Drosophila melanogaster: one gene and its partner. The protein of the gene in region 1 purifies or fractionates together with the protein of each later gene. This does not show direct contact. Each region holds a gene or a part of one and is shown in the gene's direction. Other genes may lie near its edges.

Region 1 (6,009 bases):
TCATGATTTTGATGCTGACTAGATTTTGTGAGACATTCCACTGATTTTTTTACAATTCTTTTTAAGATTCGAGCTATCTGTGAACTATTATAAATTATTATTTCCACACATCAAATTTGTTTTTCGGCTGTTTTTCGATATTTTTCTTTTTACAAAAAAATTTTCATCTTAAAATTGTGAAAATTATTCAAGTTTTAGGTTTTGCTTGTTGTCTTATATTGGTTCCAATTGATGCTTAAATGTTAACAATTTTTGTATATAAAACCGTTAAATATATGTATATAAGAGTGTGTGTATGTTATCATAAACCTTACTATACATAATTATTAATATGCTACATATGTGTTTTGTTTTGTTTTTTTTTTCTTTCTGTTTGGTTTCTCTTCTCCACGGCCATGAGCAATTCAGCTGCCTACTGCTTTTCAAATTCATTAAATTTCCTTACACCGCATATTATCCTTTTTCGATCTTATAGATTGCTAAACTTTCGCATGTATATTTGCTGCTAGTTGGCTGTTGGATGTTTCTGTCTATATGGCTAATCATAAGTTACTGGACGACACAGCGAGAAAACGAAGACGATGGCATACCACACCTCGGTCAGGTAAAGGGCGATCTGCAGCGTGCACAGGCAGTACTCCAGGCGCAGTCGGTAGGTCTGGAGCAGCAGTAGATAGGAGACGCCCACAAAGCAGGGGGCGGTCATGAAGACCGACAGTATGGCCGACCAGCCTGTGATAGAAAAGCAGAAGAGTTCATTAGAATCTGATTGTAAAAGCCATAGATACTATTCTATTACAATTATAAATAAGGATGATAATGAGTTAATTAGTATTTCTTAAGTCTAATGGTTTGGTTTGATTAAACGATTGATAACGCCATTGAGGATGATTCTATTGTTTTAGAATATCCTATAATTAGACCAGCCAGCAGGCGGGAGCTTCTACCTCGATCGGCCAGCGAACTCATGCGCCCCATTATCAATCGGATCGTCTCAAAGACAATGAAGCTAATCATCACCCCCGTGTCCAGGGCTAGAGTATGTCCCGTGTAGCTGAGATTGATGGCCTTCAGGAGGCCCATGGCCATCTCGCAACAGGCGAACATGCCAAAGTAGAACGAGTTGAGGTAGATCAACACCTCGTAGTTCATGCTGGGATTTGGCTTCTTCGGCACGAGCGGTGGCGGACGCTTGGGCGGCATCTTTCTGCCGGCTTAGCACCTCCTTCTGCTGCTTCTCCTGTTACCCCTCGATGTCTACGGCAAATTGGACCGATTTGATCTCCCGGATCGCTCACACGGCGGCGTTGCTCACGTTGGGCACTGTATTTATAGACTGACCATAATAATAACGCGAACCTGCCGTGCTTGGCCAATGCAGCGGCAGCGGCATCGACATCGGCGGTCTCACGGTTTGTCGCTGCGAAATGTGCTGTTTATTTGAATAATGTGCTGCTGGTCGTTGTCGCCTTTTATTTGTTTTCTCTGCTCGCTGTTTGGGTCAGCATTGGCCGGCAGATCGCCTGCCTAGAAATGTGGGGGAGAATGATTTCACTGGCGGCTAGTTGGGGGGAAAAAACTACTAAAAACTCCCTGGGCGTTATGCTCTACAGGGCCCAGGGCCATTAAATGGTTACCTTGAAATTCAGGATAGGTTTAGGGTGAATATATGAAAACCATTGTTGGAATTTTAATTATTTTTAAAAACTCAAAGCGTTATGCCTCGCTAAAGTCCCGTGAATCTCTCTCCTGTGAATCGTACAGGGCATGTTCACTAGACCAAAGACCAAACGGAGAGCCCTCTCATCTTGGCCATTACAGTCAGGCTAACTTGCCCGCAGTGGGCCGTGTATATTACATTCAAATTAGAAGTGTACATTGCACCTAGGGGACAGCAGCGGTGTTGCACGAGCCGTGCAGTTCGCATATAATTTTAGACCATCAGAGCCGTATAAAAATACCAGAACCGAGCGGGTCCGAGGAGCAACTGCGCCAGCAGGGAGGCAACGCCACAAAGGCCGGGCAAAAGAATGCAACCAAGAAATGCAAATTAAATGCAGCTTTGCTTTTGATAGAATCGGACGCGTCGTGTTTCGCTGCGATGTGATTTCCGCGGGCGCGAATGATCTGTGCGGATTATATAAGTTTATAAAGGTTCACGTACCTTGTTGAAAGTCCTCCTCAACTGCCAGCCATTGGGTATGTTATCGGGTTGTCTTGGCACGGATTCCTAGGAGGTCTAGTAGGATCTAGATTTTTTGTTTTGTTTTTATGTGCGGTGGCTTAGTGTGCATTTAAGTGGCTTAGTTTTGAGGCCTTGGCGAATCGTTTGATGTGAAATTGCCAGAGGAAAGTGTTTCGTCTTCGTCGTAGTCGTCGCTCGGCTGTGGATGCTTCTACTCCTTCTCCTCCAGGTGGGAGTGTTAGTGCTGGCTTGGTCTTGATCTCGATCTTGGTCGTTGACGTGGCGGCGGCAACGCGGCTTATCAACTGCTAGGTGTATGTGACGGGGCGACACATTGTACAAATGAATATGCTGGCGTAGACTAGTTCAGCACCTTGTAGGGTGATCATTAAGGCACTCAGAATAATTTCGAGTTTGAGAACAAAGGTTTGAAAACAACACAAGTAGATAACAATAGCAAGACTGGGCAGTGTTAATATTACGGATGCGGTTGCTTGCCAGCCTGCAAAGAGAGAAAAACAAGGAAAATGTTAGCTACAGATGCACGGAAAATCGTATAGTTCGTCTACTTGTTTATAATTAAGTGTATTCGATTGAAAGTGATTCAGTGTTTTAAAGTATTATACTAATAATTTCATGTTTACACATTGCGATAATTAATATTAACAGCTCCAATTGCTTTTCCAATAACTCATTTCGATGATTCGCTTTGATAGATTTCCTTTGCATATTGCTTAATGTGCCAGAAGGGCGCCTTTCCCCTGCCACCATAAAACGCGTGTTTTCATCCGGGGTGATGACCATAATTACGCATACGCCGAGTGGGCTACATCATACATATATGTATGTATGCCCGTCCAAACGTTTATGGGTTATGGCCCCGGAGGTAGGGGGATGGCATGAAATGGGCATTGTGACCGGGCAAACAAATAATTTCGCCATGTCATCATCGCTGCCGGTGGACTTTTCCCACCCTTGCAGTAACATGGGGATCATGGGGATTACTCACCACGATCGCTTAGACTGCTCTTCCGCCCGAAGACAATGCGCACGGTCTCGATGATGCACAGTGAGAGCAGGATGCTGGCCTCCCGGGACAACGCGTTCTCGCCGTAGTTTAGATTAATCGCCTTAAGAACGCCCACGCCCACTTCGAAGGCGGCGTACATGCCAAAGTAGAACGAGTTCAGATACATAAGTATCTCATAGATGAGGCTGGCGTTCATGGTGCCCGCTACTGCGGAAACGAGTCCGTAACCGTTGCCGTATCCGTGTCCTCCTGCGTGGCGACCAGTTCCTCAAGGCGGCAGGTGCGTCGCCTCTAAATGATTGGATGTCACCTGGGCAGTTTGGAGCAGCTCCTCCCGCTTTTCCACTGGCAGCAGCAGGTGTTTCGGCTTCTCTACGCCAGCATTGGGACCTTTGGGCGGTACGTGGTGAGTGATACCTGCTGGACTGAAAAATATTTGCTAATTGCGGTCTGCTCGTATTTACCAATGCGCGCATACATACAGTCAAACTTCCTCAACTAGAACTTCATAAAATCAATCGAATTTATAGGTGGTTTTGCTGTGCCTATGTATCTACATATGTACATTGTATGCATTTATTTACTAGCATACCGTAACGGTAAATTCATTAAGCGACAATAGGGAGTACATATACATAAAGGTTTTAGGTTCTTAGAACCCATTTTCTTCATCACTAAAGGACACTTTTTATTGTAGTAGTAAAGTCGTATCTACTTATGGAAGTTTGACTGTATTTACGTATCGTCCTCACCTCTTCCACTGCTTTTTCTTCTTGTTCCCGTTCTACTTCGCCTTTCCTCTTCTTCTAGCTGCTCCACCGTTACTGTCTAAAGTCCCGTTGTCATGGGAGTAAGTGGATGTTATGTTATGTATATGAAATGCACGCAGGCGACAACTCTATGCTAATATTAAGTACATGCGTTCACGTTTATTTATACGCGTTGTTGTGCGTTGTTGTTGCCCGCTGGCCTGGCTGGTTGTTGTTGTTGTTGGTTTGTTGGCAAGAGACGAGGGGCTTATATAAAAAGGAAAGGAACCTCAAACGCACATGCACAAATGTGGCCATGGGCGAGTAACGGAGAAATTGCCGATTGCATTTGGAAAATGTGCGAGCCTGCGAGTTCCGGTCACACTGGAAATCACATATTATCCAATTGAGTTTTTCATTCGCTAAATATGTTAACATTTTCTAACAGCATCTTTTTACAAAGTACTCGTTTTTTTAACAAAATGGCTTTAAAATGGCTTTAAACATTGCAAAAATATTGTTATACAGAAAAAAGTTTATGTTCAATATATTAAAGCCCGCTAAGATCGTGCCATTAAAAACAGTACATTTGAGTTTACCGCCAAAGGTGCTGTTAACTGGACAGCTGATAACCAAATCGATAACTTTATGTTCGATACGTGCAGCGATAACAATAGTATTTAGAATCGAATCAGTTGTGGCATATCTATCTGAATTTATTGACCTATTTTGGTAAAATTGCTTAATTTACCTCAGGTTTTCTGGCTTTTCGCAATGCCGGCCGATCAAATTCAATACTCAGAGAAGTACTTCGACGACAACTTTGAATACAGGTACGTTCAACTTGCGTTTCAGCATCCGTGAACTGTTTGTTTACACACAAACCACTTTCCCTCCCTGCAGGCATGTTATCTTGCCACCGGATTTGGCCAAACATGTGCCGAAGGCTCATCTGATGACCGAGACGGAGTGGCGCAACCTGGGCGTGCAGCAGAGCCCCGGCTGGGTGCACTACATGGTCCACGCGCCGGAGCCGCATGTGATTCTATTCCGACGCAAACGCATTCCGGCAGAGGACGCTCCACAGGTGGCAGCCGCTAATGCGGCTCAGGCCATCGCGAATCTCTGCGGTTAGGCGGAGGATGCCATGCCGCCGAGGAATGCTCTTCCAAGGACGCACTCGTCAATGCTCACGTAGTATTTCATAAGTTAGCATCAGGCAGCCTGATGTAAAATAAGAAACCATAGCTTTAGGGTTCAGCTGGGAAGTTCAAAGACACGAAACGAACTGAAGACATCGTTTCTGTTAATTTCATTAAGTTTATTTACCTAAAATACAAATCGAAGCGTACGCCCTGTGTACAGACAGTTTAAAAGTAGTGTTTAACTAATTGACTAATTGTAGCAGCGCCATACCGCCGGCAGCAGGCGATACGTCCAACTCTCGTTGCTTAGGTTGCAGTTCTTTAGGGCGTAATGCTCCATGGCGTATAGTGAGATCAGCGTGGCATTTCCCAGGATCAGAGAGAACCACAGAAAGATGTTGCCCATCACTTTTGGAGCACTCCGCATTAGGAATACCAAGGCAACACCCACGACCCCAAAGAAGAAGAACATCACTGGGAAGAACATTTGCAGGGCAAAGCCGAGAACCTGCTCATGGACCACAGCGGAGATCATGAACACTGCCAGCGAGGCGGCCACCTTGGAACCTCGGAACACATGAGTGTACATATCCTTGTACACGTACTCGTACAGCCAGTCGTGCACGACGACATTCCAGTTTCTGTAGTAGCCATCGTAAGTGTGCGACGTCCACCAGTCCTTGTAGAACATTCGATCACCGAAGCGTAGCAGCTCCGACGTGAAGTTCAGCCACGAGTGCAGGATTAGGTAGAAGCCGCACAGAAAGATCACCGCGCTGGGCAGCATCATGCCGAACAGCTTGAGGATCAGCTGGGAGGGTCCCATTGGTTCCAGTCCGTACTGTCCGAAGTGCTCGTGGATGTGCCGCTCATGGATGAACGCGTACAGGAAGGCTATGG
Region 2 (5,276 bases), about 12 Mb from region 1:
AACATACCACAATGCTAAACGGAATGCATGGCGATATGCTCTCATTCAAATTGGCTGCTATTTTGGTCACATTATCGTTAATGACTCTAGGAAGTAGGCATTGCATTTAAATCTCGCTGATCCCCGCCTTTATTCTCAAAGACCCTTCTCCTCTGGCCAGCAGTTCAAGAAAATGATCGAGTGCAAGACCAGTAAACCGAGAAGATAGTCGAGAGCAATTCAACTGGCTGGGCAGGATTAGGTACACCAGGTCAGCTGGTTGGGTGTGGTATCCCTGCTCCGGAGTGGCCGTAACCATGTCCTTGTGCCTGCTCACTGTGTTATATTCCTGGATAAGGGCGATGCCTACAGCTTTATGTTTGGAAACAGAAGTCGCCTTTTTTATTCACCCAGAGTATCGTTCCGTCTTACGATGTTGCCGTCCTTAAACTGAACTCCCAACTGAGATCCTGTTTGTCTGTATCGGAGGATACAGATTCCCATGACGTGATCGCCCGACTATTCAATGTGGTCAGTACGCTGGTGGATAAGCATCCGAAAAGCCTTCATACCCTGGCCAGAGTCACGAGTGCGTGCGTACACCAGGATAAAGATTTCCTAACTGGTGCAGCTCTATTTGGGATGAAAATTGTAGATGGATCTGAAGCTTGGCATCTTTTGTGAATATCAACGCACGGCCAGTACGAAAGAAACCACAAGATACCAATAATTGGATTGGGAACCATCTTAGTCTATAACTAAGTGTCCGGAAGAAATGTAAAAATGATTGAAAATAGTAGATAAATGGCATTTACTAATCATTAAATTCAGAACAAAGTTTCATTCAAAGTTAAAGAGTCCTCTTCACACATATTGTATGTACATACTTAACTAAATACCTGTTGGAAAAGTAGATTGCATTGCGACAATAAGAAACACCTTCACACTTTATCTGCAAGAGGTTATTGTTCTCAGTGTGCAAAATCATTGTGATTTCCTCGATCGGAAAATACTTTGTTGTGAGCGAGATGACAGTAAGCGAGGTTCTACTGGTTATACTGGTTATGCGTAAGTGATGTAACCCAATTACTTTATTATGCTTATCTACCAATTTTCTTTATTTATACTTATAAGCCACTGGTATAATCACTGAAGTTCAGCGCTGTGGAAGACCGTTGGAAAATCAGCTTTACAACGACAAAACATTCGCGGAACAGGATGAGCATCCTTGGCTGGGACGTATACTCTTCAGGGATGGAAATCAATTTACCACCTGCTATCGCTGCACCGTCGTACTGCTCAATCCGCGTCGTGGCCTAGCGCCAGCTCTCTGCGTGGATGGAAGGACCAAAGACCCTTATTCTAGTGTCTTTGGAAGGACCATCCGCGGAGCTCCTTTGCATCCAGACGCTATCCTGGCAGGAGTTCGCCTAGTAAATGGGGAACCGAGACAGTACTATATTATCCGGCAGCTCTTGGCCAAATTTGATTCGGTTTTTTCAGGAGCAGATCTTTTCATGTACATCGCACCCTACATTAATTGGATAGAGGCGAGAATCAACGTATTAAACGAACGTCACATTTCATTAAAAACATATATTTAATTAGTTAAAAGAGTAAATTTAGAAACCATTAAGAAACTGCATAAATACGATTTTTGCTTTAACTTTATTTATCAATTTTAAATGTCTTGATCCAACTGTGATAGGCATTAACGGGTCTCAACGGTTAATTTTATTTTTTATTTTAAAAGTTTTGTGCAAAGAAGAAAACAATACATTTAAAATAGGGGTAGTCAACCTTAGAGCTGTCACATCGCAGAACAATCGATTAAGGAATTCTTATCGATATGTGGCGCTGCTGTGCGACTTATCGGCGGTTGCATGAGAATGGCTAGCATCACCAAAGAAGAAGAATTTCCCTCCAAAATATTAGTTTATTTTGCCAACATCGATCTCAAGGATTGTTTACGAGGTTATGACCACCATTCTAGATAACTTTCAACGCGCCGAAAAGATTGGCGAGGGCACCTACGGTATAGTTTACAAAGCGCGTAGCAACTCCACCGGCCAGGATGTGGCCCTCAAAAAGATTCGGCTAGAAGGGTGCGTAATCCAGGTGGAGCAGGACTGTGATGCTGTTCATGGCAACCATAGGAAATATTATGTGACATATGGACATATTATCCTTGACGAATGTCATCCACCTGCACCCCGCAGCCCGAATTATGTGGGAGCTGCGCCGTTTCCGTAATCCGTAGCACCACATGATTCGGCTTCGTGGTACAGGATATCATCGGTTTTTGCTAGCAAACGGGTAATCACGATTGCCAGTATTTAGCTTTATTTAATAGCATAATTCCGATTCACAGCGAAACGGAGGGTGTTCCTTCGACGGCCATTCGAGAGATCTCCCTGCTGAAGAACCTTAAGCACCCAAATGTGGTCCAACTATTTGACGTAGTCATTTCCGGCAACAATCTGTACATGATATTCGAGTACCTGAACATGGATCTAAAGAAGCTGATGGATAAGAAAAAAGACGTGTTCACCCCTCAGTTGATAAAGGTAAGTACACTAGTTTGCAGCCCATTAAAATATTTTCACATTGCCACTTTGCAGAGCTATATGCATCAGATATTAGATGCCGTCGGCTTTTGCCACACGAATCGTATCCTGCATCGCGATCTCAAGCCCCAGAACCTTCTCGTAGACACGGCGGGCAAAATAAAGGTGAGACTAAAGGTTTTACCCGCTGTTGGTTCTGTGATAATAACGAATTCCAACTCCAGTTGGCTGACTTTGGCCTAGCAAGGGCCTTCAACGTGCCTATGCGGGCGTACACACACGAAGTCGTCACCCTCTGGTACCGAGCTCCAGAGATTCTGTTGGGCACGAAATTCTACTCCACGGGCGTGGACATCTGGAGTCTAGGCTGCATTTTCTCTGAAATGGTAGTGTTATATGGAATGTACATTCCAAGCGGATCTGATTACTAAACCTAGAATTACAGATTATGCGCCGCTCCTTGTTTCCTGGAGACAGCGAGATCGATCAACTTTATAGGATTTTCCGTACCTTAAGCACACCTGATGAAACAAATTGGCCTGGTGTGACGCAGCTGCCAGACTTTAAGACCAAGTTCCCTAGATGGGAGGGAACTAACATGCCACAACCCATAACCGAACACGAGGCGCACGAACTCATAATGGTGAGTGCAGAAAATGTACATCCCCAATGGAAATCCACTACTCTGTACCTTACAGTCAATGCTGTGCTATGATCCCAACCTGCGCATCTCAGCCAAGGACGCACTGCAGCACGCTTACTTCCGCAATGTGCAGCATGTTGACCATGTAGCCCTGCCTGTAGATCCCAATGCCGGCAGCGCTTCGCGTCTAACGCGGCTCGTCTGATCGTGTCCAATAGCCCCAGATCTAGCAAATTACTTGTGTTTTCTAGTATAGTAAGTTCGATGTCTATCTCACTATCTTTAAGGCGAAACTAGTAAAATTATTTGAATATCTAATCTATTTTACAGCTGCCACCTCATTATCATGCATTCCCCATCCTAACTCGCACGTAACATACGATAAATACACGATCATCCATAAGTAAAGAGTTTATAGTTTATAGCTTAGCATGGATTACCAGGAGCTCAGCCGGGCAAGGTGTCGTTGATGATGGCGTGGCGAAACTTTGGCGGCGGAATCGTTAGCCCCTGCTGCATCGCTAGCGAGTCTCTGGCGCTGGCGGGTGTGGCTATCGTCGCGCATATACGTGCCAAGAGTATTGCGCATGCTCTCGGAGAGCGGTGAATGGGCTTCGACATCACCATCGTCGTCATCGCTAGTCGGTGCATCGCTCGGTGCGCTGCTGTCTGTTTCCTCTGCTGCATCTTCATTCTCAATGGGATGCTCCGGTTTGCTGACTTCTAATAGCTTCGTCAATGATTGGCCCTTGGCCGACAATAGGGGCAGTGGTCGAAGTAGGGTCACCTTTCTGGTTCCGAGTCTTCTCATTACGGGCGCCTCTTCCTCATGCTCGCCTTCCACATCCTCTGCCTCCCTAGGCGGCGGAATAAAAAGCTGCCGTAAAAATTAGATTGGAAATCCTGAGGACTGAAGCGCTGTACTCCGTAGTAGCTACCGGAATTGGTGTCGTAGAAGAACATCGGCTCGGCGGACCGCGGCGGAGAAGGTGGCACAAAGTAGGGATCGTAAGGGCTGTAGGCATCATCGTTCTCCGCCGAGTCGTAGCTCGGTCGGCGCTTTTGTTGCTTGCGGCGCTTTCGCTTGCGTTTTTTGGTAGCCTGTGAGGCCACTTGAGCTGGTTCCTCAAGCTGCAGCTCCTGATCTTCATCGTAGGACTGCAGATAAACCGGCGACGTCTCGATGATGTTCGTACTGCCATCGTTAAAGAAGTTGGCCAACGGATTGGTCAGGTTACGGAAACTGAAAGCGGGCTGAACACTGCGGACGAAGCTATTCCAAACACGAACCAACGGGCGTTCAGTTGTTGTAGGAGCTGCTTTTCCCAGACTATGAATATAGCGCCTTCTGTATCCACCACGAGCACTCGGCAACAGGACATACTCGATGGGATAGTTTCTGGAGCTAGAATAAAAATTTCGTTCAAAGTTTAACTTTAAAATGTCATAGTTATACTTTTTTCAACTCAAATATAATTGTTTTATAAAAAAATGTATCCTATATAAGCATATAGTTGTTTGAATTGTTTATGTGATATCTATAATATGCAATAATAATCTACTATGAATTATTGGATTAAATAAGGTTCAGAAAATACCAAAAAGTGGTTATATAAATGTCATATCTGTCGAAAATCAAAACTTCATTGTTAGTCGTCAACGTTTGCTCACCCAATCTTTGCCTGCTTTTGCGGCAAGCGTCGCTCCATCTCGTTTGCGGATATCCTTACTCCTTGCGAAGGACAACTCCATGCTACAAAAAGCACTAGGGCAGTAAACAATTGCCACTGCATTGCTGTATACAATATGTTCGTCGGGCTTACTATATAGTATTTCGAATGCGTCCGTTACCGTTCCCGGTCGAAGGGAAACTGAAACTCATCCGAATCGCGAAATCAGTGGTCAACAGCTCGACGGTGATGCCTTTGTCTTTTTGACCAGCTCGTTGGATTAGTTTTTATTGGTTCACAGAACGGTTAGCCACAGTCTTAGCCAAATTGATTTGTAATGGCATTGTCCCGAGCCCCAGATCATTTCCAAAGCTATGGCCATGTTGGTGGCCCTAACTCATGCCGACACTAAGCCAA

The links.
Region 2: the proteins of Cks85A (region 1) and Cdk2 purify together in Drosophila melanogaster (affinity purification with western blotting, with the first as the bait; one study listed by BioGRID). This does not show direct contact.

The regions. Positions count from the first base shown.
Region 1 is NT_033777.3:8,714,527-8,720,535, reverse strand, and holds Cks85A (Cyclin-dependent kinase subunit 85A), read left to right. Parts: upstream 1-2,079; 5' UTR 2,080-2,199; exon of another isoform or gene 2,200-2,493; coding exon of another isoform or gene 2,494-2,687; intron 2,688-3,194; coding exon of another isoform or gene 3,195-3,411; exon of another isoform or gene 3,412-3,640; intron 3,641-3,967; exon of another isoform or gene 3,968-4,293; intron 4,294-4,656; exon of another isoform or gene 4,657-4,720; 5' UTR 4,721-4,738; coding exon 4,739-4,797; intron 4,798-4,867; coding exon 4,868-5,099; 3' UTR 5,100-5,336; downstream 5,337-6,009. Other genes in the region: CG11760 (uncharacterized protein), read right to left, coding at 539-732, 948-1,203; TMEM216 (transmembrane protein 216), read right to left, coding at 2,494-2,687, 3,195-3,411; CG8112 (uncharacterized protein), read right to left, coding at 5,360-6,009.
Region 2 is NT_033777.3:20,733,741-20,739,016, forward strand, and holds Cdk2 (Cyclin-dependent kinase 2), read left to right. Parts: upstream 1-1,882; 5' UTR 1,883-1,956; coding exon 1,957-2,084; intron 2,085-2,182; exon of another isoform or gene 2,183-2,272; intron 2,273-2,350; coding exon 2,351-2,546; intron 2,547-2,600; coding exon 2,601-2,711; intron 2,712-2,770; coding exon 2,771-2,932; intron 2,933-2,991; coding exon 2,992-3,189; intron 3,190-3,244; coding exon 3,245-3,394; 3' UTR 3,395-3,444; exon of another isoform or gene 3,445-3,519; 3' UTR 3,520-3,625; coding exon of another isoform or gene 3,626-4,594; 3' UTR 4,595-4,674; downstream 4,675-5,276. UniProt on the Drosophila melanogaster protein: Like Cdk1, could play a key role in the control of the eukaryotic cell cycle.